Linked DNA regions of Cricetulus griseus. The protein of the gene in region 4 interacts with the protein of the main gene of each other region in a pairwise test. Links are inferred from orthologs where the notes say so. Each region holds a gene or a part of one and is shown on either strand. Other genes may lie near its edges. The genes, in order: Bik, Sec22a, Ccdc70, Fate1, Inpp5k, Kash5 and Marchf5.

Region 1 (3,896 bases), on a different chromosome or scaffold from region 4:
TGCAAAGGGACTCAACAAGCATCCCACCCAGACCTGGGAAATTTGGGACAGCTCAAGGACACATAATGAGGGCATTTGGGAGGAGACCAAAGAAAGTGGCCCCTGAAGTCACAGCCACTGGTAGCTACATGGGGAGGGGTATTGCTTGGTGTCTGATGGGAACAGGCAAAGTTCCAGGTGGAGGCCTTGGTTGATCTAGAAAGAGAATGGGACAGGCAGGCCTGGGGGAGGTACTGAGCCCATGGTGGGAGTCTGGCCCTCCTCCCTCGGTGTTTCTTGTGCAGCACACCCCAACACCATAGCTTTTTGTGAGACCTGCACCCCTACCCCCACATACACACAGGAGGTGGGCAGACTTCCCCATTAGGATTACAGGCAGAAGGAGACAAGATGGTGCTGTGGAGCTGGGCCTGGTGGCACAGAGGCAGGCAGAGCTCTGAGTTAGGCCAGCCTGGTCTACATAGTGAGTTCCAGGACAGCCAGACATATTCAGAGAAACCATATTTGGGGGAAGAGGAATGCTTATAGTCCTTGGGTGCAGGCAGAATGCACAGGACTGGGGCAGAGGCCACCCCTCCTCCTCCACCATCTACATCCAGTGTTATGACAGCCCCCAGAGGACCTAGGGGGAGGCTGGCTGCAAACAGCACTTTATTGAACACTTCTGGAAACAACACTTGATTCACTTTATTGAACTCTCCACCCCAAGGAATCTAGTCCAGTAGATTCTGTGCCTCAAGGCTTCACAAGCCAGGGGTGTGGCCAGCACTCCCCCCCACTGGTGGCCACAGGACCAGCCTGCGGAGAAAAGGCAGGCAGGGGTCAAGAGAGGGGCCAGCCAGGCCTCAGGGGCATTTAGCCAGTAATGCCCCTGAGCTATAGTGAATTCATTTGCCTTACAAAAACCCAGAAAATGTGTATGAAATCTCAGCACTATCCTGAGTTAAATATAAAAAAAAGGGACAGTTAGAAAACACCACAGTTAGGGTGCCGGCACCTCTAGGGGGTGGTTGAGGAGCAGGGGCCAGCCCTGCCCCTGCTGGGCTTCACTGAAGCTGCAAATGCAAGGCCTCCCCCAGCAGCAAGAGGACCAACAGCACCATGGGAAACAGCTGTCCTCGGGCCTGGTCAGGTGACACCTATAAGACCAAAAGGGAAGGGAGAGTGAGGCCCAGGGACCACCTGGGGTGAGGAGACAGCTCTTGGGGACTGGGAACAAACATCTATGCACAAGTGGGGGATCTGGGACAGTGTGAATATGGTATTCAGCCAGTGGGGGTGAGCTGGGAGGTGGCCCTGAGACCATAGCTGAGAGAGGGTCCTGTCTGCCAGAGGAAGGGTCTCTGCAGCGGAGACCAGAGGCACTGTTAAGTGTGTACTTGAATCTCGTTGAGTTCAGAGGCCAGCCAAACGGTTGTTGCACTCACTAAGGCTTCTGGAATGGGGCAGAAGTGGAAAGAGGTGGGGAAGACGTAGAGAGGGATGGAGATTGTGGCAAACCAAACAGCACGGCTAAGGAGCTGCTGGCTGCCCTGTGGGCAGGGTAATGTAGACTACAGGCATCAAGGGTCTTACCCAGGTACCAGGAGTCAGGACTCTCCAGGACCAGATTTTTTCCCTGAGGTTGGTGAGGCCTCGAATCAGGCTTCTGAAAATCCCCCTGGCACCCGTCTGGCTGTAGTTGACAGCGAGTCTGTAAGACATGGGATGGGCAAGGTGATTACTGTAGCAGTAGACACTGGACACCTACATGTGTGACTCATTACAGCACGGCGCACAGAGCCTCTGTGCCCCTCGGACATCCTACTCTCTCCACTACGAAAGTCATCTCTTCCCAGACTGCCTTCTGGGTCTCTGCCCGGAGCTGACCACAAGGAACATCCACCCTGAAGGACCCTGAGTAGTCTGTCTTCCTGGGAGACCAACTGAGGGGCTGCCTCTGGGGCCAAGCCCACACTGCCCTGGCAGTTGGGACCTCTCAGGACTGCTGTCCAACTTGACAAAGGGTGATGCTTGATCTACTGTTGAAGCCAGAGGGAAGGCTTGGGGACCCAGGTGGGGGCTGGGAAGTGAAGGATTTCAAGCTTGTCCGGGGACTCCTATACTTCTTTAAGGTTTGCAGGATGCCCTTAGAGTCCAGCCCTGTGCTGGTTCTGGCTCTGCATGTCCACCTGGGCAGCTGGTTACCTGTGCATGGCAATCCCAGGCAGCTGGGCCAGACGGGGCCCCCGAAGACACAGGTCCATCTCATCACCAATGTAGGCCAGCCTCAGGGCCACTTGGTTTCTGCAGGAAGACACAGAGAAGTTTGGTGGGGTTGTGCTGAGGGGCCATACCACCCACCCACCCAGCCCAAATCCTGTGGGACTCAAGGCCCAGAGAGAGGAGGCAGTGGAATACTGGGGGCCAGTAGCAAACCTTGGTGTCCCTCTCATCCATGAAGTACCCTTTGAAGTAAAGGGTTCCCCTACAGGACAGACCACAGACTACTGAGACATCAGGTGGAGGGGCCAACAGGGGACTCCCTCTTGTGGAAATCAGACACGCATTAATGCTAGGAGTGTCTCATGAACCTGCCTGGAAGCCAGGGATAACTTAGCCCAGAAAGACTATCACCTGACCTCCCCTGTAGAGGACCTGGCAGGGGAGGTGCATGGTGGTAACAGTGGATGGTAGGGAAGAGCACTGGGGGTGCTCTGAGCCCCCTCCAGATGGCTTCCTATAGGGTCTCAGTTTATCTTCCCGTTCCAAGACCTGCCCCTGGTTCCTAGTCCTGAAACACTTGTATCTGCACCCTCTCCAGATGTGGCTCTTGTCTAGCCACACTTGATAAACCAAATTCCCAAGTGAGCCAGGCATGGTGGTGCACACCTTCAATTTATAGAAAATCTCAGGAACTAGAGATAGCTCAGCAGTTAATAAACAGCACTTGTTACTCTTGCAGAAGACTCAGGTTCAACTCCCAACACCCGTGTGGTTATTTACAACCATCTGTAACTCCAGTTCAGGGGATACAACACCTGAGTTCTTCAGACACCAGGTATGTATATAGTGCACAGACATACCTGCAGGCAAGCACTCAGGCACATAAAGTAAATCTTTAAAAACGTAAAAGATCTCCAATGGAATGAAAGACACACACTTATGTGGTGAACGCATGTACACTGGACTGGCTGATTTTATGTGTCAACTTGACACAAGCTAGAGTCATCACGGAGGAAGAAGCCTCTGTTGAGGAAATGCATCAGTGAGATCCAGGTGTAGGGCATTTTCTCAATTAGTGACCAATGGTAGAGGACCCAGCCCATGGTGGGTGGTGCCATCCCTGGGCTGCTGGTCCTGGGTTCTATGAGAAGGCAGGCTGAGCAAGCCAGGGGAAACAAGCCAGTGAGCAGCTCCCCTTCCATGGCCTCTGTATCAGCTCCTGCTTCCAGTTATCCTACCCTGTTTGAGTTCCTTCCCTAACTTCCTTCAGTAATAAACAGCAATATGGAAGTGTAAGCCTAATAAACCCTTTCCTCCCTAACTTGCTCTTTGGTCATGGTGTTTTGTCGTATCAATAGAAACCCTAACTAAGACATACACACACTGAAACCAGCCTGATTAAGCCCTTTCTGGGGTTGGCCTGAACATTCCACACCAGTGACTCAATAGCTCACTGGAAAGTCCCTACAGAGGGGATCTCAGGGGCTGTCTGTCCTGCCCAGCTCAGCCCTGGCCACCTGCACCACTGATCCAGTGTCCCAGGTCTACTCCTGATTCTAACAGTGGTGACAACAGTGCCAGGAGCCCGGAAGGTCATCTGGCTTGGGTTGGGAAGTTTTGGTCCTACCTGGGAGACCCCAGGAAAATACTGCCCCAGGCTTCACCTCACTCAGGAATGGACCAGGAAGGGA
Region 2 (4,131 bases), on a different chromosome or scaffold from region 4:
AAAAAGTCACACACAAATAGAATTAATTATCTATTCCTTCCTTTGCAATCTGAATACCATTTCATTTCTTGTTCTTATTTACTTGTTTAATGACTAAATTATTTAAATGAAATAGTTTCCCTTTCTCCCATATTTGTAAAATCAAACCATATGTGAAATGTCATATTCAGTCCACATTTAAAGAATACTAACAAACTGAAGCAAATTATAGGGATAGGGAAAGAAACAAAATGACAGAAGAGTCTTAAGAAAGTGAAGATGTTTTACATGAAAAACTCATGCTAGAAGCATACAAAGGATGGAACTGCCTTCTGCTTCAGCTGGGAGAGGTGACAGAACCTCAGACATGCCAGTAGGCATTAACAGGGAAACAGACATTAGCTTAATCCACAAGGAAATTTTTAATAAGTAGTCCAACAATGGCATACTATACTTTTATGAAATAGTGAGGCCTCCATTTTAAGGAAAAGTTTTGTCCTGTGTACTTTCAGTGGGAGGGGAGATCTGAGTAAATAACCACTACAACTTTTGCAGTTTCTGGTATAGTCAAGATTCTTATACTAAATGTAGCCTATTGGCATAATAGAAAGTACTTTTCAGGCCTACAAACATTTCTAGAAAAATGTTTACAAGGAAATGAAATGTTTTCTTAGCAAAGAAACCTTCTGAGATTGTCATTTGGAAGTAATTTTCAGAATAGTCGAATCTTTAGTAGCCTACTTTATATAACAACTGGGAGAATGGGTTGCTTTGAACTTCCATATTCTTCCATGTAATTGATTTAAAACACTAGAATAAAGCAATTCATTTTCAAGAGTTCCTCTGTTATTTTCTTAGGTTAATAAAATAATTAAGATCCAAAACTCACCAGAAGAAATCTTACCAGCACCTTTACAGTCAACAGAAAATGCAGATGTGACTCCATTGGCTGATCCCAGTGCACACATGGGAATTTGATAAGGGGGCCTCAGCTTGATTTCCATCTGCATGTCAGACAGATTTATTTTTGTTGAAAGAGACCTGGGATTATTATATCGCTGCTTGGTCCTCTGAATGAAGTTATCTATGTAAAATAAAAAATAAATTTCCTTGCAGTCATTTGTTAATTAAATCATTTGAGAGTGTGATGTTTATGGGTATAAATTTTATAAAGTTTGTTATTCAAAGCTATTCAATTTGTGAAGGGATTTCCAATATTATATTTAGCAGGTTGCTATATCATGGAGTCAACAGTTTTACACTCTAAATGTTAAACTCTAGAATGAAGTTACTATAACCAAATATGGACTTCCAGGAATTACAGAAACAAAAAGAAAACAACTTGTATTGTCAACCAATGCCTTAACTTTTATTTTCTTATCTCATAAAATATGCAATCTGTTATTAGCTGTAATTACATACAAATTACACTATAAGCAATATTTTTATAAATCTGTTTTCTTGTTTATTTTTTACAACATTCCGTAGTATGTTCTGCAGAATAAGTTTAGTAGAATCAATAAAACAAATTTCCTAAATATCTTCCAAGCAGAATTTTATTTTTACTATTTCACCTCTTTTGATGTAAAATAAAATCCATAACTTTGACCAGATTTTTCTGGTTGAGCAAACTACTGCCCATAGGCCAAATCTGAACTGCTGTTTTTGTAAATAAAGTTTTATTAGACAATAACTATTCTCATTCATTTATGTATTGCCTGTGGCTGCTTTCAAGTTGCAATATCAGAGCTGAGTAGTTGTGGCAGAGAAGAAGGCCCTTAAAACCTGAAATACGTACTCTTTGATCTTTTCCAGCAAGTGCTTGCCAACCCCTGTTCTACATTAAGCAGACTATAAAAGATTAGCACATAAACACTAAACGGAGTCTGTGGCTTATAAACTTCTCATTGAGAATCTGTCCTCTGGGATTCGTTCTTTGGACTAATAATCACAATCTCCTTCACAGCTCAAACACATTTTTTCCTAATAGACATCCAAATTAAGAACTATAGATCCTTTGCCAACTATTCTATCAAAATCAAGGTTGCAGAAGTTTCTCCCCTACTCCCCAATATTAGATGATAAATTGTTTATCCTGGAGACAGGATAATAAAGAGTACAGAAAAGAACAAAACAAAACAAAACCAGGCCCTTACCAAATTCAATGAAACAGTATGGTCTGACAGCAGTATTTGTCTTCATCATGTTATAAGTAGTAATGAACTCCTTCTGAAGCTCATCCAGGAAAGAGAAGGCCAGAACATTTGGGTAATTTTCAGTGCACAACATCATGTAGCTCACTCCCAGAGAGCTAATAAAACTACAGTGTAAAAAACATTGGTTTTAAAATTTCAAATTAAATCAAGGTAATTTGTTGCTTCACAAGACTGGTTCTATATACCATAAACTGCTGCTACAGTAGCAATGAAGATATCAACATTTATTACATATTCCAGCAACAACTTTAAAGGAACCAACATATAATACTATCTAAAGTTGTGAATGCGTAAGAAAGGTAGATACACTATACATCTAAAATTTCAGCTAGTCATCACAGAGTAGAAAGCAAGGGAAAGAATATACAAAAATGTAAGCATCCAAGTAGCTAAAGGCCAACCCTTCACAAAATCAGGTGGAAATTATACACTCAAGTCAAGAACTGTTCAGAAAAATCTTATGGACACTGACCCTGGAAAGATACACAGAAGTTAGCATGCATCGGGTGACCACTGGGATTGGTCACTGGTCTCTTGAAATCATCATTGAACCAAGAGTCAAATCTTTTAAATTACAACATTGAGGGGGAACGAAATTATATGTATCATTGGAAGGAAAGGAGGAATTTTTTCATTCATAGCAATGACAAATACATAAAAGAGAGAGAAAGGAGCATGTTTTATAGCAAAATGCTGAGAACTCCCTCGTTGGAGGAGGTAATACTGGAATCGGGGGAAAAAAACAAAACACTATTTTAGAGCCATCTAAAAACTGGATCAGGAAAAATTATCATGAATATTGAATTCCCCAGGAGGAAATTTTGAGGTGCCCCAACATATTTGTATGGCATCGTTCTCACCTTCCTAATGCCATGACCCTTTAATACAGTTCCCTCATGCTGTAGTGACTTCCAACCACAAAGTTACTTTCACTGCTACCTCATAACTGCGATTTTGCTACTGTCATGAATCATAATGTAAATATCTGTATTTCTGATGGTCTTAGGTGACCCCTGCAAAAGAATTGTTTGACCACCCCCCAATTGGGGTCTTGGCTCACAGGTTGAGAACTACTGCTTTAAGACATTTTCCAATAGACTGTTTATTAGTTGTAAGAGGAAATCACATAGTAGTAATCAGAGAACATGTTGACCAAGGTATTCCAATATCAGTAATGAGGGACAAGTGGACACATGCATCTCCCTCAAGTAACAACCTAAGAAAAGACATCACTTATAACTGGGGATGTATAGCCTGAATCTAATAGTAAAGAAACATCAAAATAGCCAACACTCCAATTTTTAGATAGGGAGGCATATTCTTTAACAACAAAACAAACAAAAAACCCTCAATGCTGTAAAAAAGAAATAAAGATTATAAAAATGCTCCCAATCAAAGAAATCTAAAAAGTCATGCCAACCAAATGTGATAATCCCTAGTCTGGATCCTGGGCAGAGAGGGCTGAGCTGCTATAATGAATATTTCTAAGATTAAATGATAAAAAAAGCAGGCAGTATGTTACAGTAGCAATATTAAATTTACTATAGCTGATTATGGTATGCAGTTAAGTAAAAACCTATTTCCAATCTTAGAAAATATACTTTGGAATAGTTAAGAAGGCCTGGCCTTGGTATGTAGCTCAGTGGTAGAGCATTTTCCTAGCATAAACAAGCCTTCGATTTGTTCTCCAGCATGCAGGCAGGGTATCGAGGAGAGAAGGAAATATCTGTAAGTTTCTTCCAAATGGTTCAGAAAAAAATAAAATAAAATAAAAACACATAGGTAGGAAAATATCACAAAGCCGAGTATGGAAATACATTATTAGGCCTTCTCTTATTCATATAATTTTTGTAAGCTTGAAATTGTTTCCAAATAATATGTTAACTGTGCTTTAAAACTTCTACTTTAAGCATGGAAACATTTCATTTAAACATGT
Region 3 (3,121 bases), on a different chromosome or scaffold from region 4:
ATTGAAACCTATCTGGGTGTGAGGATCCAGAGGCAGGACAGGGAAGACTCCTGTAGCTCCTAGGTTATCACACCATCAATTTGGAAGGGTGAGTGGAGACTTGTAGGAAGGTTTCCTAGAGGGGCTAATGGCTTGGAAAAATTTACCCGAAAGAGTAAGAGTGAGCTGGGGGCTGAGGTGTAAGATGCATTCCAGGTAAAAATGGCGGAGTGCAGTGCTCTGAGGAGCTGCAGATAATTAATTGAATGTAGGGGATACAGACTGATGAGTTATAAAAAAGAAATACTGACATAAGGTTGGTGGGCAATGGGGTCACTGAGGAGTGACAAGGAATTTGCCAGACTTCTAGAAGTCTGTCAGCACAAGTCAGCCTTCCCAAACTGGCCAGAGTAAAGAGATCACCCCTGCAGGGTGACAGAGGCAGGATGTCACAGCTCCTCTGTCCCTGTATGTCTCTGTCTGACATTGTCTTAGTCTTCTTTAGACAACCTTACAAACCCCCATTCAAGCAGAGGACACTGGAGCCAGCCCTAGTGGCCAGCGATACAGTCTGGAGGATGGGATACAAGAATCACAGAAACAGCATGGCAGGGAGGATGCAGCCAACCTTCCTTGAAGAGCTGTTTTTTCAAACCTCTCCCCAGGACTTTATTATCTCTTTCATGGCAAAGAGACACATTAGTGTCTATTTCCTTTAGAACATGGGGTCACTCTGAACTTGGATCCCAAGCAGTGATGGCTATACCCCGTGGCCCTGTGTGTCCAGTGTTCACTATGCACGGCCACGGGGGAAGGCTGTTGACTGCGGCTCTTCATTGACATTGTACAGACCATTTTGGGGCCTCTGCTCCCCAAGGATTTGGAAGCCACCACCTTCCACCCAGAGGGCTTTCTCTTCCTCCCAGAGGGCATTCTCTTCCTCCCAGAGAGACTTTTTATCCTCCCACAGAGCCTTCTCTTCTGCAAGCAGGGCTCTTTCCTCTACCCACAAGGCCTTTTCCTCCTCCCATAGGGCCTTGTCCTCCTGAAGAAGATTCCGGTCTCTTTCCCATAAAGCATTGTCCTCTCTCCAGAAGGCCTTGTCCTCTTTCCAGAAGGTTCTGTATTTTTTCCAGAAAGTCTTTTCCTCTTCCCGGAAAGATTTTTCCATTTCCCAGAAGGTTTTTTCCTCTTTCCAGAAGTGTTTCTCTTCTTCCCAGAAAGGTCTTTCTTCTTCCCGAAAACCCAGGATCTGGCTCCGGAAGGCCCGAATCTTGCCCCGGAAATCCCATATCTCTTCCCTGAAGTCTTCTATTTTCTCATGGAAATTTTTCATCTCTTCTCGAAAAGCCTTCTCCTCTTGCAGCTTGTGTATTAGTTTCTTCTGACGAATACTGGGTGAGGACAATACCAGAGACCGGAGGCAAGCCAGCCCCATCCATTTGCTCACCTTGAAGGGAAACATCTTTCAATCAGCCGGAATGGTTGGTGGCTGTGTTGGAGGTCAGGGCTGTTGGCCACGTCCAGGTCAGTTGGTCAAACCCTGTGAGTACACCACAGAGAACACGTCCATGAGAATGGGAGGCACTCTGTCTGATGTGGGAAAATTTAACCACTGCTCTCTTAGTCCTATTAGTGAGAGACACGATTTAATACAGAAGAGTGCTGGGTGGCCATGGCTCTGAGCTGGTTGATACAGTGATACATTCAAGGACTAGTGTCCCACAAACAATCTCACCCAACCAAGACAGTGGTGTTAAAGTGGAAATATAAGTACATAAGGGTGATGTGACAATTTAAGGTGGTTGGTGGCTGAACAATTGGGGAGCAACTAAGAGCTAATTAGTGAGCACCTAAGAAGGGCTTCGGAGGCGCTGGCAGTATCCTGTTTCTTTGCTTGGGAGGTGGATGCATGCATGCATGTCACATAAAAATATGTTCCTAAATATGTTGAAGAGAAAAGAAGAAGAGGGGAAAGAGGAAGATGAGAAGGAATGGGAAGAGAAGAGAAGGGGAAATAAAGGGAAGGAGAGAAGAGCAAAGGAAGGAAAAGGATGGGAAGGAAGGGGAAAGGGAGGGGAGGGAAGAGAGGAGGGGAAAGAAGGGAAGGGAAGAGAGGGGGGAAGGAAGGAAAGGGCAATAAAAGAGGAAAGGAAAGAAGAGGGAAGGGAGAGGATAAGGACTCCAAACACTATCATATGTTCAAGGTAGCATGTATTAGGACAATCCATAGTTCAGATATCCAGCAAGGCCGTCACAGTGTGCATGTAGGGAAAGCTGAATGTAGCTAGTGTGTGCACTCAGGTGCAGAGATCCCACTGTGTGCTTTTTGGAAGCTGGGCTTTGTCCTCAGTGGTCCTCACCAGAGCCCCACAATGTAAAGTAGCATTAGACATTTGCAGGAGGTTTTCCAGATTGTCCCTGTGATTTTCTTTCTCTCCTGGTATGGGATCAGAAAGTAAAGAACTTCCCTCCCCCTGTCTCTCCATCACTGTCTGCCTCCTCCTCTCCTTCCCTTACCCCCCTTTGTGTGCATGTGCGCGCACGTGTGTGTGTGTGTGTGTGTGTGTGTGTGTGTGTGTGTGTGTGTGTGTGTACATACGTGTGTGTATGTGTATGTGTATATAAAAAGATGGTGGCTATGGTATATATGGCTGTTGACCTCTCCTCTTTCGAATAACACAACCTGGAAACCTGAGGCTCACCTCTGATTTCCTCCTAATCAGACTCTTCCTCAACTACCGAGCCCTATCATTTCTGACCCTTCACATCTTTTGGAGATACACACTTCCTGTTCCATCTTCCCATGACCACTTCTGGGGAGGATGTCTTTTCCTGCCTGCCTGGTCTCTGGTGTTCTGTTGGTTCAGATTGTCTGCTTACACAGTGGAGCCCCTCCCCCCAATGGATTTCCTGTTGTACTGTACTTGCTTACAAGCAGCCAAAGACTCCATAGGTTGAAAATCAAAGCCAACTGCCCAGTGCTTGTCTATCTCTTTACTTCCTTCTGTCTTTCCACTCTGCTCCATGTGACATATAGTTAGTTCTCTAGACACAACCCGAACAGTTTGACCTCTATACCGAAGCACTGGCTGTGTCCCCACTAAGGTTTCCTTCACGTTCTGGGGTGGGCTTCAGATCT
Region 4 (4,762 bases):
TAAAGACAGTGAGGGTGGGGAATGATAGGCAGTGGAGGACACCAGGGACCTTGGGGCAATAGCAGCAACCCAGTTCTAGGCACACTGTCTTGGAGCAGAGGGCTATCCCCTATTGTACCTCCCAACCCTGACAAAAGTAAGGTTAGGTCAAGAACTTCTGGCACCAAGTTTTGCTGCAGTCATGAAGCATTTATTGAGCATGTTGTCTGAGCAAAGGCTTGAGTGGTGTGGAAGTAAACAAAGGAGGAATCAAAAAGCAAACCCTGCCCACAGAGAACGGAAGAAAAGCAATGTTGGGTTACAGAGACCAGGCCCACAAAGCAGAGATGGTTAGGTGTTTATGTCAGTGCTTCTTTCAGGGCTGGTGCCATCCTTTAATTCCTCCAGAGGAGAGGCATCTCAACCCAGGCATACCTGTATGGTGCTACCCAGTGGTTCCCTAGCCTCGCAGCAGCTAGAATCTCACAATAGAGTGAGCGTATCTCCAGGCAGAAGGCCCAAGCAGAGGGGTAAAATGACCCAACTGCTACCTGGGGGGCTGCTGGGAGATAGAATGGCGTGGATAAGGGCATCCTTGAAAGCAAAGGGAAGACGAAAGAAAGGAATGGCTCTAATGGGGTTGTGGTGTTTGTGAAACTTTACTGACGCATCCAAAGCCACAGGTTGGCTATGCAGACTGAGACCAGCAAACTAAAGAGCACAGCCTCCTTATGGCGCCACGTGGCATCCTGGTCCTCAAGGGCACGCAGCCGCCCAGAAATCACTTGCATCTGTGGAAGGACCAAACACAGGACTTGTGAGCAGGAATCACTCTTATGAGAAAGGCAAGACATAAGGGTAGGGGGAAAATATGACCAAAACCAAAATGAATCTTTGTTCCCCCTTCCACATCCTTTTCTCTTCCCCAATTCCTGTCCAGCATCTCCAGCATAAAGGAAAGTCAAGGGTGAACATCAACATGAGGTACTCAAGGCATGAGGCCTGAGAAGAACAGAAAGGAGAGCCCAACCTCACTTCATTTGCTACAGGATATGATTTGGACAAAGGCTATGAAAACTCGGGGGTGGCTTTGTTCACAACTGCCAAAATCACCCACTCCAAAGCACTATGATGCTTCCTCCAACTATACAACAGATGCTTACCTGCCTTCTCATGACTTCCATCTCCAGCCCATTGAGTTCTTCCAGGCCAATCTCTGCCACTAAATCTGCCTCCAGACTGTTGGAAGGAAAGGTTACATGGCTCAGAGGTGTTGGTGGCCATAGAAAAGACACAGAGCAATAAGGTATGCCTGAAGGCTTTTTGGATAAAGATCCCAGTCCTTCCCTTGTGTAGTAAAGAAGCCGGAGGCTTTGCCAAAGCATACGTAGATCCCAAATGGCCAGGAGGCAATAGTATCCCAATACTTCAAGTATATACATCTGCTTCTCGACTCGGATGCTCACTAGTCCCTATGGCCCTACCCTCTGCTTGTTCCTCCCCCAGTAGCTAGGAACAAGACAATTGAACTCTTACCGCTCATAAGGGACCCTCCCTGTTTGGAAGTTGCCAGGAAACTCCTGGAGATAGCCATCCACCTGACTGTGATCTCTTGGCATCCGGGGCATCTGCACCTGATGACCCTACAGAAAGAAAGGATACACCATTCCAAGTCACCCTTTTAGCACCGCATTGTGCATGAATCAACAGTACACCCCATAGGAGCCCCATGATGTCATTTCATCTTCCTGTGCCCCCCCCCACACACACACCATGCCTATTGGTAGCTTCTAGCCTTGTGTGCTGTGCCAAGGAAAATGCAGTGACAGGCTTCTCTGTCTTTTGGTAGAACTTTTACATGCAGGCATCCCTTGAAAACCCAAGCTACCTACTGAAGATGAATGTAAACCTTCAAGATGATTTTAAGTAATTTAAAAGAAAACATCATTTCACACCTTGGAAGTTTATAAAGAATTGTATAGTCATCCCTTGGTATCCATGGAGACTGTTTCTAGAATAAACGCCTCACTATGGTTATGCAGCTCTGCAGATTCCCAAGTTGCTTGTGTAAAAGGTCATAATATTAGAATATAGCATAATCATATCTTTTTATATAATTGAAATAATTACTATATTATTTATAATGTCTAATAAAATGTAAATGCCATCTAAGTAATTCTTATACTATATTGTGTAGATAATCATTGCAAGAAAAACATCTTGCATGTATTCTCTAGAGATGTAATCACTCCACCTCCACCCACAGACAGTGTCCATCTGTGATCGATTGAGCCAATGGATGCAAGACCTAGGAATGTAGAGGGTCAACTATAGATGCATTTTCCAGTCAACATGTTTGCTAGGCATGCAGACTTCTAGCATTGAAGTCCCAGCATTATACAGTACAACCCTAACCTTCCAATGATCTACCCTTCATTCATTTGCTTTATTGGTATATGGAAGCTTCCTCCTCCTAATGATCAACTTCTAGCTATATCTACCATGGGAATACAGGAGCCCCAAAGTAAGAACTTCCCACCCTAAACTAGCCACCATTTGTCAATACCCCTTTCTTGGGACGAGGTCCAGTCACATTCCAAAATGACTGGCCTGAACCAGATCCAGCAGGTTTTTGCTCTGCCCTTGGACGTCTTTGGATTCCTCCCAGTGACCGGGACCCACGTTCCATCATTTCTAGAAAGAAGAACAGAGACTGCTATGAATACTGCTTTAAAGGTTTTACCAGAACTTTCTGGGTACTGAAAACAGCAGAAATCACTCAATACCCATTCACTTCTGATGCTCAGCCTATTTGTCCATCTGTTCAACAGGTCAGTATGTATTTACTGAAAATCTGGCCCTGGGCCTAGGATTCTGTAGCATGAGCAATGATCAAGAGATGAAATCCCAAACACAAACCATCTCTATGTATGAGAGAATAGGAAATACCAATAATAAAATCTTCCATCCATGTAAATTCAGATATGTAAATGGTTCATGAATGATTAAAAACCAAAACAAGCTAATATGGCAAAAGAAAAGCATAAATCAACACTGAAATACCTAAAACAAACGAATAACCTTCCAGACTAAGTAAACAGCATGCACAATGACTGGGATGTTGTAGAAGCAGCACAAGTAAACGCACATGATTAACTATACCCAACAGGCTTTTTAGGGGATTCTCACCTGACATCACTGGTTGTTCTTGGCTTTGGTCAAAGTTTCCAGTCCCTAGATCTTCAGAAATGGACATTTTATACCCTTCTTTGACATTGGAAGGGCTTTCTGCCATCACCACCAGGTATTCATTTGTAAGGTTGTTCAGGGTGGATGGCACAGAGAAGACACTTGGAAGCTCGCCTCTTCCAGGGGTAGAAATGTGAGGGAGATATACTGGCACAAGAGGGTGGAGCCAGTTCTCCCTCTCTGTGCTCAGGCCTTGGATTGGCACCTTGAGTTCCCACTGTATCTTGTTGGTGGGTCTCGTGGCCGCCTTCTCTTCTGCTGTGTAAGCAACTTGGAGATGAGATAGTGCTCTAAGTGGTACTGTTTTTGTGAGCTGCCCTGATTCATCTCCCCTTGATTTTGCTACTCACGGGTAGGAGGATCCCATCCTCCATCATGGTCTAGAAAGAGACAAGGGCTGGCATACGGCCCAAGCATCCATAAGTGCCCAAAGCAGTGACAGGTCCCATGCTTATCATGGTTTCTACAAGCCCATGACTGGCCAGTAATCTAGGGTACAGCACTCTATCAGAGGAGCTTCTCTGTACAGAACATCCTGCCTCCTCCAATGCAGAGTCTTCAAGCAAAGTAGATGGCCTTGTCTGATATGAATCCTGGGAAGGAAGCAGGGAGGGGCAAGAGGGACATGCTGGGCTTGTGTACCCTGCTGTATGTTTCAGCTCTGCCTCAGTTTTTCTACAGATTAGACCAGATGTATGTGTCAATTTAGTCAGGTTCTGATCCCCAGTGAGTTTATCAGACACTCAACTCTCAGTATTTCTGCAAAGGTATACTGCAGCTGTGATTATTATCCCTAATGGACTTTAAATAAAATGGCTTCCTCCCAGTCAGGTGCTTGTACTCAACCAATGTGCTGAAAGAATCAAGTGCAAACCTTAAGGAATGGGTCAGTGAGTGGGATGACCCCATGCCCCAAGGTTCCCAGAGAATGAGGGAAACCTGCCACCACAGCCTGCCCTGTCAGGGTGCTGAGAGGCATTGGAACAGCTTCCATAGGCTCACGCCGTCCCGGCGCTCTTGGGCCTTGGACTCAGCACTCCCAAGATGATACAGACAGATCCAGATAAAGAAAAACCTCTAAAGGTTTACACTGCATTTAAAAATATATGTAGGCTTGTGAGAGAAAAAATAACAGGAGGAAATAGAGTAGCTGGGTGTGGTGGCTCACGCCGGTAGGATTTGCTGAAGGAAGCAGAGGCAGGCAGATTTCCACAGAGAAACCCTGTCTCAGAAAAAATAAACGAAAGATAGTAAAAATAAAGTAATAAAAAAGCCACATAAAGACGGAAAATACACAGAGAATCTGGATACTATATGCCATATTGTTCTCTTTAAATTGTTTGATTGCCAAGGAAAGACTTACTGCTGCTAAAATACATTTGATTATAAATGCTGCTAAATTAATCCAACTTATACATTTCAAAAATGTTCTAACTTCAAAATTTAAGATTAAGGACAGGGTACTTAGAAATAAAGGTTTTGCTTGTATTTCCACAGAAAATGAAAAGCTGTTGATTCCTTCAAGACTAATATG
Region 5 (4,828 bases), on a different chromosome or scaffold from region 4:
TCTTTCTTTCTTTCTTTCAAGATTTTATGTATACAGAGTTTTGCCTGCATGTATGCCTGCAGGCCAGAAGAGGGCACCGGATCTCATAATGGATGGTTGTGAGCCACCATGTGGTTGCTGGGAATTGAACGCAGGACCTCTGGAAGAGCAGTCAGTGCTCTTAACCTCTGAGCCATTTCTCCAGCCCCTTCCTTTCTTTTTTTTTTTTAAGCTGTGGACAAATTAGTTTGAGAGGGAAAACAACAGGACAGGCAAGCTGTAAATCTTGGCAACTGTTTGAAGAAAAGACTAACCCTTTTGTGAGCAGCCACATGGTGAAGAGTGAAAAATCCAAAGCATCAGGAAAAGCGTGCCTGGGCTTTGGAAAAGAAAAAAATCACCGTTTGGAGGCTGAAGAGATGGCTTGCAGTTGAGAACATGTACTGCTTACAGAGGACCTGAGTTTAGTTCCCAGCACCTGCATCAGAGTTTACTGATGCCTGTAACTCCAGCTCCAGATGTTCCAAATCTCACCAGGCACCTGCACTCCTGTACACCGCCCCACCCCCACAATTAAAATAAAATCTTGTTTAAAGGCTGGCTGGCCTGCCATGGTGCCACAGGGCTTTAATCCAAGCATTGCACAGGCAGGTGGAGGTCAGTCTGGTCTACAGAGAATACTAGACCAGGTTCACTCACATCACTGCAAGTGGGAACAGACAACAGTCACTACTGCTGTTTTGTTTTGTTTTTATTTTGTTTTAAATTGTATTTTTCTTTAAGAGTAATGTGCACCACGGGCATGCCTGGTACCCAGAGAAATCAAAAGGGCCTTGGATCCCTTGCAACTGTATTTAGAATGGTTATGAGCCACTATGTGGGTAATGAGAGCCAAACCCATGTCCTCTGTAAGTGCTCTGAGACCTCTCCAGCCCTTACATTTTTATTACTGGAAGTCAGAGGACAACTTGGAGTGATTCCATCCACCCCAGGAAGGTGTTAAAGACTTGGTAACCAGAGGTTGCTCTCCCCCCCCCCCCCCAGTTTTGAGAAAGGATCACACCACAGTCCTGATGGCCTGTAACTCTTTTAAGGCAGCTCAAGCTGGCCTCAAACTTGAGTAACATCCTGCCTCAGCGTCCTGGAATTAGATACACACCACTACACCTTGTCCCAGGACATACATTTAAAGTAGCAGGATGCTTGTGAGTTCTCGAAACTGGGCGCCACTGAGTAGTTGGTACTACAGGTGAGACCCACCGTGCGGTGCTAAAAAGCAGGATCTTTAACTTGACTTTCCAGTGTGTGAATCTCATGGAGATTGTTAGTAAAACAATTCGGGAAACAATCTCTCTGCTTTCAAGAAATTATAACCAAAGACCTAAAGGGAATAAATCAAAGTGAGTCTGCCAAAGTAAATAGTGATATGAGTCCAATATACACTAAATAGGAGCCACGACTTGTGTGTCATTCACTGATGGCTCATTTTCCGAGCCCGGGAATCCCAGAATGTGCTTTGTATTCAGCAAAACTAGGTTCGAGCTGGGCATAGTGGTGCACTCATGTCTCGGCTCTGAGGTGGTAGGTTCGGCTTGGTCTGCATAACAAGCTCCCAGGACATAACAGCGAGACTGTCTCGGGGAAATGAAACCAAACGACGACCAGAGAGTCACTTAAAAGAATGCAAAGGTCCCAAGGAACCGCAGAAATTACTTTGAAGTGCGGAGTGAGGGAGGCCGAGCGGACGGACAGACTATCCTGAGCGTTCCCACGCTGCCCACTCCCGGATTCTGAGGGTAGGCAGACGACAGACAGAACTTTACGCCACGGGACGGTCGCCAGCCAGCCCGAGGCCGCGCGCAACGCTCCCCGCGCCCTCGCCCTCGCGCAAGGCAGGCTGGGAGTGCGGGGCGCCGCCACCCACTCGCACTGTGGTCGGTGAGGGCGGTGTGGCGTCGGGGGCGGATGACTCGCGTCTCTTCGTCTCGGAACCCATCTCCGCTCCGCCTCTGGGCGTTTCGCTCTGCAGTGGAGTCCCGCCTCTGTTTTCCCAACCGCGCCTCACACTCCTGAGCGCTCACGATCCGCCTCCTACGGAAGCCGAGGCACACAGTCAGGATCCGGAAGAAAAACAATTCGGAGGGAACAGTGCCGCTGATACTGGCCACCAAGGAAGGGCTGCTCCGGTTCGCACTGGCTGGAGCGAGGAGTCACGGCGTGGGAATGAAGTCGGCTGCGTGCCTACGGAGGCCGAGCACACCGAAAGTCTCTGTACTCAGGTGAGGACGCATTTATAGGCCGATCGGTTACTGGCGGTTCACTGTCTTCGTTTCAGTCTGATTTGTGGGGCTGGGCACCAAAAACGGTGGAATCAAGAGGACAGGCCTACAAGGCTGCCCTTGTTTGGACCCCCAGACTCTGCCAGGCCAATATTGAATGGGCTGTTAGACCTGATGCCCGTCCTAAACTTGGACTGCCAAACTGGTCACTGCAGATGCTTCCCAAGCAAGTGTCCTGTTGGTTTTTAAGAGCACACAGACAGTAGTGTCTAAGACATTCTTCCCTTCCGCTGTAGAATAGACGTTTTGTTCCTACTTTGCATCAGCAGAACATCATGGGGTCTTCTTGATCCGGTTATGATCTCTACAAATCCGAAATCAGATTTAAATAAGATCCTTTAGAGAAGTGAACCCTGGTCTCATGCTTGCTCTTTAATCACGAGGAACACCGCTAATCGTCCAATTGAGCGTAATCATGGTGCATGGATTCGCTGCTAATTATCAAAACTGAGAACATGGATGATCAATCCCGAATTTTATTCTTTATCCACTTAAAGTGCCTGGGAATACAAGAAGCCATTGAATAAACGGGTTACCTGCCTTAGTCCTCTGTTGGACAGCAGGGGGAGACTGTAAACAGATCAACTAACAGTCAAGAGAGCCTGAGAAGGTAGTTTTTGTATTATTTTGTTTATATTAACAGGGAGAGGCAGGAAGTTGCTTTAAGCTAGCCAAGAAATGTGTTTTACGAGTCATGCTTCTTAGAACATGTACCTCTAAGAACAGGGTCTGGTGGACAGATGTTTCAGAACAGACTGCCCTTCCCTTTTAGGATCCTCAGTATTCCTGGAACTCACAGGCTTCATTTCTGTAGAGTCTTGAGCTCCTGCTTGCTCTGTCCTGGGAACAGTGTGGGCTTCTTGGAGCATTGCTGTAGCAGTATGCTCACTCAAGGGCTCTACAAGTCTTTGCTTTCCTGAACTTGTGATGGGATGTCATGGTGTTTAAGAGCTGCTAATTATTTCTCCTGATACTCTGGGACTTGTCGAGAGCTGAGATTGGGATGTTATTCCCAAACTGATGATTTTTCCCAATAGACAGTAGACTGTTGAGATAGATACTTAAAATCTTGTTAGTTAGAAATTTGTACTTAGGCTCCATGAAGGCCTTGGTAGAATTTGTTGAGTTCCAGGGATCTGTAAGGTAGGCCATGCGGAAGGGAATGTGCTGTTTATTTTGTTCTTTTCTGAAATTTCTGTTCTTGTAACCCTGAGGCCTGTGATCAAGTACAATCAACCTCTAATACCTTCTTGGTGCTCTAGGAATCCATAGGGTGAGGAGAGGGAGTACAGAGTTGCTGACTGAGCCATAGAGGATCAATGAGGTGTAGATAGCTGGAAAGGCTAATGGGTTAACAAACTCCTGGCTGTCCATCTCATCATTTCCTCCTTTTCCTTACCAAAACTCCCGCATTCCCCCTAGCAGCTCGATGTGTCAGGTGCTGCTGAGGTATGGGCAATTATGAAGCTGTGTAGAGGACCCAGTTCAAGGGAAGAGACTCCTGGTTCAGGAGATGAAAGGGAAGGTGAAGCCTTTATAGTCTATTGCTCCTTTTCTTCTTTTCCTGCCACAAGATGAAGAAACAAGCCCGGAACCCTGGTATACAACTTTAATCCCAAAACTTAGAAGGCAGAAGCAGTGTGATTCCCCATGAGCTCCAGACAAGCCTGATTTACATAGGAGTTGGAGGCCAGCCAGGGCCACATAGTGAGACTGTGTCTCAAAAACAATAGACTAACAAACATACAGACACATTTCCCCGTGAGCACTGTGATGGAAACCATTAATAGGCCCAGGCTCCTGCCTATTCCTTAGCCTTCATTCTGTGACTTCATTTAATATCTTTTCTACAGTATACATGTTGTGACATGGAATGTGGCCTCAGCAGCCCCCACTGTGGACCTCAGTGACCTACTTCAACTGAATAGCCAAGACCTGAATCTGGACATATATATCATTGGGTAGGTATCCAAAGGACCCCTTGGCCCTCCATCTCTGTAGAGGGCTGATGTAACCTGACCTCCCTTCATTTTGGAGTATGAAGGTGAGGAGCTTTCATCCTCATCGGGTTTAGCCTCATGTGTCTTGGTCCTGGGTCAGCAATGGTCATGGATTGAAGATCAACAGCCACACCGCTAGGGAAGGGAGAAATCTTGGTCATCAGATCCTAGGTTTGAAAGTCTGATGAAGCCAGTACCAGATGTCTGTGGGAGAAGCAGTATCCTCCAGGCCTGGGAATGAGCCTGACTTGGAACGGTCAGTTTGCAGGAAATGAATTCTGGAATCATAAGCCTTCTTTCTGATGCTGCTTTTGAAGACCCATGGAGCACTCTCTTCATGGATGTGCTTTCCCGTCTGCACTTTGTCAAGGTAAGTTAAAAGTCTGTGGGCAATGGAGGAATGTGTGTCACCTTCACTGTCCCCCAATTGCTTGTATGGTGTGTTTCTCTTTTTCCCACTCAGCTCATTGTCTTCTGTGTTCCTCTTTCTTCCACTTAGCTTTTCATGCT
Region 6 (4,808 bases), on a different chromosome or scaffold from region 4:
CAGCTTTAGGATTACAGATCTCCCAAACATGCCCAGCTACAATCTTCCAGAAAGTTTGAAATTTAACAGTTATATTGTGTTTTGGTTTGATTTGGTCTTGGTTTTTTTTCGAGACAGGGTTTCTCTGTGATGCTTTGGAGGCTGTCCTGGCACTCACTCTGGAGACCAGGCTGGCTTCAAACTCACAGAGATCCATTTGCCTCTGCCTCCCGTGTGCTGAGACTAAAGGTGTGCGTCGCCGCCGCCACCACCACCACCACCACCACCACCAGACAAAAGTGACCCTTATTTTGACTGACCTGGCTGTAACATAGGCAGGACAGCACTGTCAGTCAGGGTGCAGAGGAGGAAGTCCCTATGTGCACCGGCCTGTGAGAGTGAAGCCCACAGGTAAGAACCCAGGGAGCTGCAGGCCTCGGGGATGACATGCTGCGTTTCCATTGTCATGGAGAGTAAAGGACATGGAAATCACCTGGAGAGAGGAAAAATGGTTCAGTGGTTAAAAACACTTGCTCACTTCAGCTTGATGGCTCAAGTCTTTAATCCAGCACTCTGAAGCAGGTGGATCTCTGAGTTCAAAGTTGGGCTAGTCTTCATGGCAAGTTCCAGGCCAGTGAGGGCTACAGAGGGGGACCTTGTTTTGTTTTAAAAAACAAAGGCTGAAACAGTACTCTTGAAAATCCCAGCACCCATGTGGCAACTCATAACCATCTGTAACTCCAGTTCTAGGAAATCTGATGCCCTCTGGCCTCCAAAGATATCAGACACACATGTGGTTCATACACATGTAGACAAAACACTCGAATAAAAAATAAAAATAAACCTAAAGGGGGAGAAAGGCAAGAAAGCAGTCCTGATGAATCAGCTTCCTGATGAGGCAAAGAGATGACAAATTCAAGGCCAAGCTGGCCATATTAGGGACGTTTTGTCTCAAAATGAAAAGGCTGGGCTGTAGCTTGGCAGTAAAGTGTCTATCTGGAATTGACTAGTGGGGCTGGTGTGTGGTTCAGCAGGAGAGCACTTGCCTAGAATCCACCAGTGAAAGATTATTGACAGTGTGGCTCAGTGACAAACGAGTGTGGAGGCAGGGAGAGCAAGGCTGAAAGTGGTTCAGACGGCCAGCAGTCCAAATTCGGGATAAAATGGGCAGTCTCCAGGCAGTGTGGGAGCCAGTTCAGCTTGGTATTCAGTCCCAGGCAGAGTGAAAGCTGTTTCTAGATAACAAGACACAAAGGCAAGGCAAGTCCCAGGCAGAGACCACAGTAGGAGTAGTGGGTTAGAGTTGCTAGAAGATAGAGCATGATTTGGAGAGAAAGCAGCTGGCCCAGGCCACACTGTGCCTCTGTTGCCAGAAAAAAGCAGGCTCTGCCTCAAGGTGATGGGGAACCATGGCCAGGCAGATCAGCTCTGCAGCCTGTGGGGATGCACTGGAGCCTGGAAGGAGGCTGGGACGTGGGCCCAGGGAGAACAAGGACCCAAGGCAAGATTGAGGACGGCAAGAGGAGCACAAAGTGGAGTCTCTAGGACAGGCATGATGACTTGCTAGGTTACAGGGGAGAGAGGTGGCCACAAGCCCTAGGGGCAGCAGTTGACCCCACCCTCTTGTCTCCTGCTTTGATCTTGCCGCCTGCTCCCCATCCCATACCTCAAATCCATAGCAACAGGTTGGAGTTGGGATGGGCATGGCAAACAGGTTCTGAGAACCCTGGGGCAGAGATGGAGCAGTTTAGCGGTGGCTAGTCTGAGGAAGCCATTACTTTGCTTGTCCTTCTAGGAGCTGTCTGGGCAGGCTGTTCCTTTCCCAACCCTCCTATCAGTGGAGGAAGGGTGAGAGCTTCACCAGCTGCAACAGAGAAACAGGAGTGGTCCATGGACCTGCCAGAGGACCCGGCTAGTAGTTCCACTGCACAAAGTAGGTGTCTGCCTGGAAGAGGAGGAAGTGGGAGCTGCGGGCCAGTGTGGGAGCAGGAGAGGTGGCCAGGCAGCGTGGTCAGAAGCAAAGGATGGTGGGAGAAGTGTCGATTGTGTGCTTGCCACGTGTCTGTCCCCATTTGCTCCTCTCTGGAGGGCTATTGGGGACAGAAGGCTGTGCACATGGTAATATCCACACCATCCCACCTCTTCCCACCAATTCCTCCTCTGTTCAGATCGTGGGCTAGTGAGATCTCTTACTTGGGGTAAAACAGGTTCCCTGCCCCGTCTCTTCCTGCTGCACTTCTCTTCCCAACACTGGCATCTGTCTGTCACCTACTTAGTCTAAGACTCTCCCCTGGAGCATGGCTCCTCAAAACCTATTCTACTCCCAGTGTGTGTGTGTGTGTGTGTGTGTGTGTGTGTGTGTGTGTGTGTGTGTGTGTGTGTGTGTGTGTGTGTGTGTGTGTGTGTGTGTGTGTGTGTGTGTGTGTGTGTGTGTGTGTGTGTGTGTGTGTGTGTGTGTGTGTGTGTGTGTGTGTGTGTGTGTGTGTGTGTGTGTGTGTGTGTGTGTGTGTGTGTGTGTGTGTGTGTGTGTGTGTGTGTGTCTTACAGTGCAGGAGGTGAAATCCAGGGTTTTGTGTGTGCTAGGCAACCAATCACCACTGAGCTATGTTCAGCTGTGCTGACCTCTGGGTTTTTGGTTTTTTGAGACAAAATCTGGCTTTGAACTTTTCACCCCTCTACCTCTGTTTCTCAAGTGTTGAGATTACAAGCATGCTCTCCACCATGCTCAGCTCACATATATAACTTTTAATTTTTTTAAAAGAGAAAAGCTGGCAAGGGGCTCATATCTGTAGTCCTGGAACTGAGGGGCTGAGGCAAGAAGATAGAAAGTTAAAGGCCAAATCAAGCAGGTGATGCAAATGGTATTAACTGATTTTATTTAGCTTTGTATGCATATAAACTGTTTTCTGCATTAAGCAGCATAAGAACATGCTGAGTTACTCCTGTTTTCCGACATCTTTGAGAACTAGTATGTGATGTTTCACACTAACACTGTTCCATCTTGGCCTGCTCAAGTGCAGGCAGCCTGTGCCGACTGGTGCTGCTAGCCAGAGCAATGCCGGCTTCATTGTGGAAGCTCAGTGCCTTGTGGGCAGATTCAGATACGTAGGTGTGGGAGCCAGCACACATCAGCTCAGGGAGGAAGGTGCTGGCTAACCGACTGTCTTCTGTGGGCCAGCCTCTGTCTCTGTCTCTCACTCCTGTTCTCTTTCCTGCCTATCTTTGTCTCTGCCCTGACTCAGCAACTCTGTTCCCCAAGAAGCTCTCTCCTTCCTCTACTGTCCTGGTCTCCCCCCTCACCTCATCTCTGATTTCTGACTCTCCATCCCCTGAGGATGAGCTAGAAGGGAAAGCCAGCCTCTGATTAAGAAGCTCTTTCCTCTAGATAGTCAGTTGGGGTCACTGCTGGAGTATCTTGTCTTCCAGGCTCCTGGATGTTTACAGGCAGGCCTGCAGCTTTGCTCAAAGCTGAGATTTGCACATCAGCCTCAGGAGTAACCTCTGCAAATAGGAGGGTTTTCAGGCAGACCAGCATGCCAGGACTAGAGAGAGGGCTGCCTGGCTTACGGGGAATGACCGCCATCTAAACCTCGCCTGCACCAGCAGAGGGCGTGCAGCCACCAGGAACTAGGACCATAGCCAAGTCAATTCCTGAGACTGCCTTTGGGAAGGGAATAACTCAGCCACAGGAAAAGCAAGGGATAAAAGACAGAGATGGCAAAGTAGAGAGAAGGCACTAGGAACAGAGTAACAAGATGGAAGACAGGAGAAAACAGGATGGAGGGACACAGGACAGAAGCTGGACATGTGAGAGAGGTTGGGGAAGAAGTGGAAGAAATATCTCAAAAGAAGTAGAGCTGGGGACCCAGCAGAGGCCGAGGCAGAGGCAGGTGGGTCTCTGTGAGTTCAAGGCCAGCCTGGTCTATAGTCCAGCAGAGGCAGAGGCAGAGGCAGGTGGGTCTCTGTGAGTTCAAGGCCAGCCTGGTCTATAGTCCAGCAGAGGCAGAGGCAGAGGCAGGTGGGTCTCTGTGAGTTCAAGGCCAGCCTGGTCTATAGTCCAGCAGAGGCAGAGGCAGAGGCAGGTGGGTCTCTGTGAGTTCAAGGCCAGCCTGGTCTATAGTCCAGCAGAGGCAGAGGCAGAGGCAGGTGGGTCTCTGTGAGTTCAAGGCCAGCCTGGTCTATAGTAGTTAGTTCCAGGACAGCCAGGGCTACACAGAAAAAACTTTTCAGAAAAAAAAAAAAGATAGAAGCAGGGGCAGAGCTGTGAAGTGGAGGAGGAAGGAGAGGGCAGAAAGAGTGTCTTAGGGTAGTGTCTCTATGTATCAGTGTCCTCACTGGGCCACAGAGTCCTCCTTTGTTACACTGGATGATGAAGAGCAGTAGACCAGCTGAAGTCCACCTCCCCTAACTATCCTGGGCTCCTAGAGCCCTCCCATGGGAGCCAGAAAAGGTCCAAATCAAACTGGTGCAATGAGTCCTGAAGTGTCAGGGGGAGAAAGGGGATTCTTGTGCTGGAAGGCAACTGTGGCAGCTTCTGTTGCTCTGCCTCAGACTCATCTTTAGGAATAGCAGCTGCTGTGGTTCTGATGATCCATGAGTGCCTGTAGTTATGTGCCAAGCAGAGGCCCATTCTCATTCTATCCCATTCTTCTCTAGGAGGGAGGTAGCTTTCCTAGAGGACACTGCTGAGGCTCAGAGGTTGAGTCCTGAGCCTCCCGGGTGTATGGGGCAGGCTGCTCACTTCATCCTCAGCTCACACTCTAACTCTGCAGCCATATGCAGTAGGCATTCATCTCAGCAAGCCAGGCTAATGAAAGGTATGAAAGCCA
Region 7 (4,881 bases), on a different chromosome or scaffold from region 4:
AAATATACTTTTCTTTAGTTAAACACCTTTTTGGGGGGTACGGGGTGGGTTTCAAGACAGGGTTTCACTGTGTAGCCCTGGATGTCCTGAACTTACTCTATAGACCAGGCTGGCCTCAAACTCACGGAGATCTGTCTGCCTCTGCTTCCCGAGTACTGGCATTAAAGGAGTGCGCTACCACTGCCCAGCTCACTTCTTTGCTCTTAACTCCCATGCTAACTGAAGCCAATATTAAGATATCTTTAATAAAATCTTCAATTCTGCTTCATTAAAAAAAGGTTCCATGGTAAAATATACAGATCATGAAACTTATCAATTTAGCCATTTTATGGGTACAATTCAATTAAAGTATATTACATTACTGTGGATATTCACAGGATGTCTAACATTCCAGCATAAAACTGCAATTGCTAAGTATATGAGCAAATAGTGTAGCTGAGATGTTGTTAGTATAAATATATATTTAATACAACTTGTAATTTTCTAAGTATATTTGTCTCCTTTCAAGCTGGATATATATTTTGACAAAATAATGTGGGGATAATATCTAGAAATTCCTATGTATGTAGTGATATATTACTTATGATTTATTAAAGCTTGCCTGAGGATTCAAAAAGCAAAGTTAGCTATAAGTCATAGAAGCCAGGCACGCACCTTTAAGACCAGCAGCCAGAAGCTGGGAGGTGGTGGTACACACCTTTTAATCTTAGCACTCAGGGTTAAGAGGTAGATGGATCTCTGTGAATTCAAGGCTTCCCAGGAACACATGAGATTGAAGTTACTCTAAAAGAGTAACAGATCACAGGCCTTTAATCCCAGCGCTAGCCGGCTATAGAAGATAGAAGCAGGGTCTTCAGTAGTCAGTATCATGCATTCATTCTCCAGCCACACTGAGGAGAGGCAGCAGTCTGAGGCTTGGTGAAGAGCTCTAGGATCAGCCCTTTCAGCCTGAGCTATAGATGACAGCTAGTGGCTGGCTGCTTTACTTTCTGAATCCCTAGGCAAGCTTTAATAAATCATAAATGATATATCACCACATACGTAAGTTATTCTGAGGACAGAACATATTCAGAATAATTATCGGTATTAAGTAAGGGATGGAAATGTAGTTCAGCCTTACAATGCTTACCTAGCATGCATGAAGCTGTGGCTTCAAGTCCCAGCACTATAAAAACTGAGTATCGTGGAAGCAAGAATAGTTGTATTTATATTCCTCATAAATTATATATAACCTTAGATTTTGTTCCTCAGTATTTTATAATAAAAATTTCAAGCTTTCTAAAAGAAAAAAACTGGAAGGGGGCAGAACAAATGTAAGAACTGGGAGATGAGGAGGAGTGCTGTGGATTCATGAACCACAGGTAGCTGTGCTTACCTGTGTAAGACCTGCACAAGATGGGGCCTAGCAACATTACATCAGAGATGGAGGAGGGATTCATGAAGCCCCATGCCCCACCCGGTAACTCTGGACATTGGCTGCTGGAGGAGAAGGGAGTAAATTTAGTGGTGTAGCCACTGATAACTTGCCCACACGCCTGTAAATAACCCAGACCCATGCTTATGCAATCAATCCTAATTAAATACAGTGGAACACATACAAGACATGAAAACAGGACGGTGACTAGGGAGGGGGATGAGCTAGGGTAGTGGAGTGGAAAAGGAGCAAAATACATTTTATATATACATTTCTGCAAAGGGCATCCGGAATTCCCAAGTTTCTGTAAATTCTTCACTAGTACTCACTGGCTTATAAGCGAATCTCTAAAGAATGTAAGACAAGCCAGGACAACATTTAAACCTAAGGATTTTTTTAAAAGTCACCACGTGAAGGTGAAAGTGGAATGCCATCAGAGCAAACAACTATGCAATACCTTCTGGAGTCGATGTGGCAGGCAGTAATCTCTCTGGGCACATTTTAGCATGCCACACCTTAGAGTCAAATAATGATAAACTCTAAGGAAAACCTGGTAAGTGACCAGACTCCCAAACCACTGGAGAAACCAACAACTTCATTAGTTCTGACAACAGAACACCTGCTAAGTCCTGTCCTAGGATTTAGTATAAAACATGAGAATTGCCTTCTCGGGTGGAGCTTTGTGTGACCCCCACCCCCCAATCCTAACAGTTAATGGCTGCTGAACAGGGTGGCCGGTGGTCTATCTGGGGCTGCAAGCAACCACAAACATGAATTTGAACAACTGGTCAGAGAAAGAAGCTGGTGCCTAGGAGAGAAAGTGGATTTAGTCTCCAAAAAGTCACTGGTTGGAATTTAAACAGCAGAGGGCGGTGCAGTTGACTTCTCAAAGAGTTTTACGGGCTGGAGACCCCCAAGAAAGGGCAACTGGTCCCAGTACGAGCCAACACGTTTCTAGAAACTCAACGATCCTCAAGTGTTCAATGTTGCATGCATGTGGCTGTACTCCATAACCTCTACTCCAGTGTGACCGTTAAGGCTCCCTTGTGGATATTCTGACCTTACGGCTTGGGGGCGGGGATGGGATGGGGGTTGGAAGGAGAACCGAAACTCAGGCTTTTAAAAAAGAATGCCTATGCCTGCATTGTGGAGAGAGGCTTAAAAGTCCAAGGGATCATTGCCCAGGAAGATAATCTAGTTCTTCCCAGGGCATAGCTGCCAAACCCTTCACAACATACCCCGGGGGGAGGAGGTGGGGAAAAGAAACTAATTCTATGGGTTAACAACAGCGACCCTTCACCTCAAAAGACAGGCTTTTCAGAAGAAGAAGACCTCACTCCTTTAAGTTTCTAAGTCTAGGACCCAGACCGTTCGCCCAATCTTCCCCTCAGTGCCATCTCCAAACTCGGAGCCTCTCTCCCGGCCCCGGGGCAGTGGAACTCTCGGCGGACGCCAGGATCCGCGCTCTCGGGGCCTCGAGGCCAGCATGGGCAGGCCCAGGACGGAGGCCGGCGGTTCCCGGCCCAGCCCTGCTCGTACCTGTCCAGCATCTGTTGAAGGGCTTGGTCCGGCATCTTCCGCGGAGCCGGCGAGCTCGGCCCTCGCCCGCAGCTCCGCTCAGGGCCAGGCCCGGGGACAATAGCACTGAGAGGCGGCGGAGTAGGCCTCAGTCCCGCGGCGTCCGCGGCCCCGCCACACAGCCTCCCGGCGCGGCTCCGTGAGGCCCGCCGCGGCGGTGCGCGGCCGGCGGGCGTCCGCAGGGGCGGCGGGGAGCGAGGGGGAGGAGCCTGGGGCCGGGAGGCGGCGGTCGCGGCCCGGGTTCCTGCCGGTCCGCCCGGGGTTCCGGTCCATGGACCGCCGGGGCGCCGAGCTGCTGCCGGCGGAGGAGCTACCTCTGTGAGGTAAGAGTCACCGCCTCCGTGCGCGCCGGGGTCACGACGCAGGGGCGGCTCGGAGCAGCCTGGGAGATGTAGTCCTCGGACCGTCCCCGCTAGAGGCTGCACAGCCCGCTGGGACCCCCGCCGCCGCGCCCGCCGCCGCAGGGCCGGCGCCCTCCCGTTTCCTTCCTCCAGGGGGAAAAATGTCCTTCGGGCCGCTGTCCGGGAAGCGGCAGCATGTGGCGCTCCGCTGTCAGTAGCAACAAGGTCAGCGCCCCTTCTCCGCGTCTTGCCCCCTCAGCTCTCGCGCTCAGGTGGGACAGAGCCAGGTGAGGGGAGGTGGCTTGGAGGGCCAGTTTCTGGGTCGGGTCCAGCACGCCCGGCCGCGGTGGCGGGAGGTCGGGCGCTCGGGTCAGCCTCGGCCGCGTCAGAGCCCATCTTCGGGGTGGGACCGGGTGACTTAGTGCGGGGCTGCTCCGGAGGGGCGGGCGGGCGGACGGGTGGGTAACGCGACCGTTCTCACCGGTGTGCGTGAGTGTGTGTGTGTGTGTGTGTGTGTGTGTGTGTGTGTGTGTGCGCGCGCGCGCGCGCGTGGGTGCAGTGTGTTTGTGTGTGTGTGCGCGCGCGCGTGTGCGCGTGAGTGCAGTTTGTGTGTGCGCGCGCGTGTGTGTGCGCGCGTGAGTGCAGTGTGTTTGTGTGTGTGTGTGTGCGCGCGCGCCTGTGCGCCTGAGTGTGCGCGTGGGTGCAGTGTGTGTGTGTGTGTGTGTGTGTGTGTGCGCGCGCGCGCGGGTGTGCGCGTGGTGCAGTGTGTGTGTGCGCGCGCGTGTGTGCGCGTGAGTGCAGTGTGTGTGTGTGCGCGCGCGTGTGTGCGCGTGAGTGCAGTGTGTGTGTGTGTGTGTGTGTGTGTGTGTGTGTGTGTGTGTGTGTGCGCGCGCGCGAGTGCGACGAGAGGATCGGGCGTGGGTGGCGGGTGCGAGAGGACCCCTCTGCCTGTCCAGGAACCTTCTCCGAGGTGCTGCCTGTCGCCCATCCTTCCAGGGCTCGCCGGCAGCCCCCAAAAGGAACGAACGCGTTGGTGAATAAACAGCCCTTGCTTGCTCAGCTGTGGGTTGTCAGGGACGTTTGTTTCTTTCTGCAGCTGGTCACCGTTAACCAGTTCTAGTTTCCTTGACACTTCTAAGCAGGTGGATCAGGGCGAGGGATCAAAAAGGGAGAAGTCACAAATCATCCCCCCCCACCCCCGTCTTCTCTGACGCCGGAGGGATAGCCTTGAGGGAGGAAGGAGCTGTTGTTGACTTAAACAAATGCGTAATTTGGGCGACCTGTGGCGTTTCTTAGTGCTGTGATTGGTGGGTGTTTAGTAATTTTTGTTTACCTGTGCTTACATTTTGTTACAAATATCGGGCCTCTAAATGCCAGACTTGGGAAACCAGGACAGAAGAATTACCTGGAATTTGAAGCTGCCTGGTCTGTGTAACGAATCCCAGAGCAGCCGGGACTATGGTCTTTAAAAAACAAACCCCCAGCAATCCTATAATCCCAGCATTGGAGAGGTGGAGGCAGGAGGAGCAGGAATTCAAGGTCACCCTC

What was found.
Region 1: the proteins of Fate1 (region 4) and Bik interact in binary tests that used the Homo sapiens proteins (3 or more experiments, as listed by UniProt). The two-hybrid records come from large-scale screens. The link is inferred for Cricetulus griseus from reciprocal best matches to the Homo sapiens genes FATE1 and BIK.
Region 2: the proteins of Fate1 (region 4) and Sec22a interact in binary tests that used the Homo sapiens proteins (3 or more experiments, as listed by UniProt). The two-hybrid records come from large-scale screens. The link is inferred for Cricetulus griseus from reciprocal best matches to the Homo sapiens genes FATE1 and SEC22A.
Region 3: the proteins of Fate1 (region 4) and Ccdc70 interact in binary tests that used the Homo sapiens proteins (3 or more experiments, as listed by UniProt). The two-hybrid records come from large-scale screens. The link is inferred for Cricetulus griseus from reciprocal best matches to the Homo sapiens genes FATE1 and CCDC70.
Region 5: the proteins of Fate1 (region 4) and Inpp5k interact in binary tests that used the Homo sapiens proteins (3 or more experiments, as listed by UniProt). The link is inferred for Cricetulus griseus from reciprocal best matches to the Homo sapiens genes FATE1 and INPP5K.
Region 6: the proteins of Fate1 (region 4) and Kash5 interact in binary tests that used the Homo sapiens proteins (3 or more experiments, as listed by UniProt). The two-hybrid records come from large-scale screens. The link is inferred for Cricetulus griseus from reciprocal best matches to the Homo sapiens genes FATE1 and KASH5.
Region 7: the proteins of Fate1 (region 4) and Marchf5 interact in binary tests that used the Homo sapiens proteins (3 or more experiments, as listed by UniProt). The two-hybrid records come from large-scale screens. The link is inferred for Cricetulus griseus from reciprocal best matches to the Homo sapiens genes FATE1 and MARCHF5.

What each region holds. Positions count from the first base shown.
Region 1 is NC_048595.1:380,439,100-380,442,995, reverse strand, and holds the end of Bik (bcl-2-interacting killer), read right to left. Parts: intron 2,287-3,896; coding exon 2,188-2,286; intron 1,694-2,187; coding exon 1,576-1,693; intron 1,140-1,575; coding exon 1,047-1,139; 3' UTR 666-1,046; downstream 1-665.
Region 2 is NC_048597.1:54,302,215-54,306,345, reverse strand, and holds part of Sec22a (vesicle-trafficking protein SEC22a), read right to left. Parts: intron 2,300-4,131; coding exon 2,136-2,299; intron 1,064-2,135; coding exon 869-1,063; intron 1-868. UniProt on the Homo sapiens protein: May be involved in vesicle transport between the ER and the Golgi complex.
Region 3 is NW_023276807.1:61,678,135-61,681,255, forward strand, and holds Ccdc70 (coiled-coil domain-containing protein 70), read right to left. Parts: upstream 1,445-3,121; coding exon 773-1,444; downstream 1-772.
Region 4 is NC_048604.1:3,690,415-3,695,176, forward strand, and holds Fate1 (fetal and adult testis-expressed transcript protein), read right to left. Parts: upstream 3,275-4,762; coding exon 3,169-3,274; intron 2,674-3,168; coding exon 2,546-2,673; intron 1,623-2,545; coding exon 1,516-1,622; intron 1,219-1,515; coding exon 1,143-1,218; intron 771-1,142; coding exon 639-770; 3' UTR 224-638; downstream 1-223. UniProt on the Homo sapiens protein: Involved in the regulation of endoplasmic reticulum (ER)-mitochondria coupling. Negatively regulates the ER-mitochondria distance and Ca(2+) transfer from ER to mitochondria possibly implicating it in the regulation of apoptosis.
Region 5 is NC_048600.1:89,088,011-89,092,838, forward strand, and holds the start of Inpp5k (inositol polyphosphate 5-phosphatase K), read left to right. Parts: upstream 1-1,930; 5' UTR 1,931-2,202; coding exon 2,203-2,258; intron 2,259-4,171; coding exon 4,172-4,279; intron 4,280-4,579; coding exon 4,580-4,688; intron 4,689-4,828. UniProt on the Homo sapiens protein: Inositol 5-phosphatase which acts on inositol 1,4,5-trisphosphate, inositol 1,3,4,5-tetrakisphosphate, phosphatidylinositol 4,5-bisphosphate and phosphatidylinositol 3,4,5-trisphosphate.
Region 6 is NC_048599.1:154,093,120-154,097,927, reverse strand, and holds the start of Kash5 (protein KASH5), read left to right. Parts: upstream 1-1,791; 5' UTR 1,792-1,869; coding exon 1,870-1,912; intron 1,913-4,808. UniProt on the Homo sapiens protein: As a component of the LINC (LInker of Nucleoskeleton and Cytoskeleton) complex, involved in the connection between the nuclear lamina and the cytoskeleton.
Region 7 is NC_048596.1:24,575,238-24,580,118, forward strand, and holds the start of Marchf5 (E3 ubiquitin-protein ligase MARCHF5), read right to left. Parts: upstream 3,089-4,881; 5' UTR 2,989-3,088; coding exon 2,954-2,988; intron 1-2,953. UniProt on the Homo sapiens protein: Mitochondrial E3 ubiquitin-protein ligase that plays a crucial role in the control of mitochondrial morphology by acting as a positive regulator of mitochondrial fission and as an important regulator of immune response.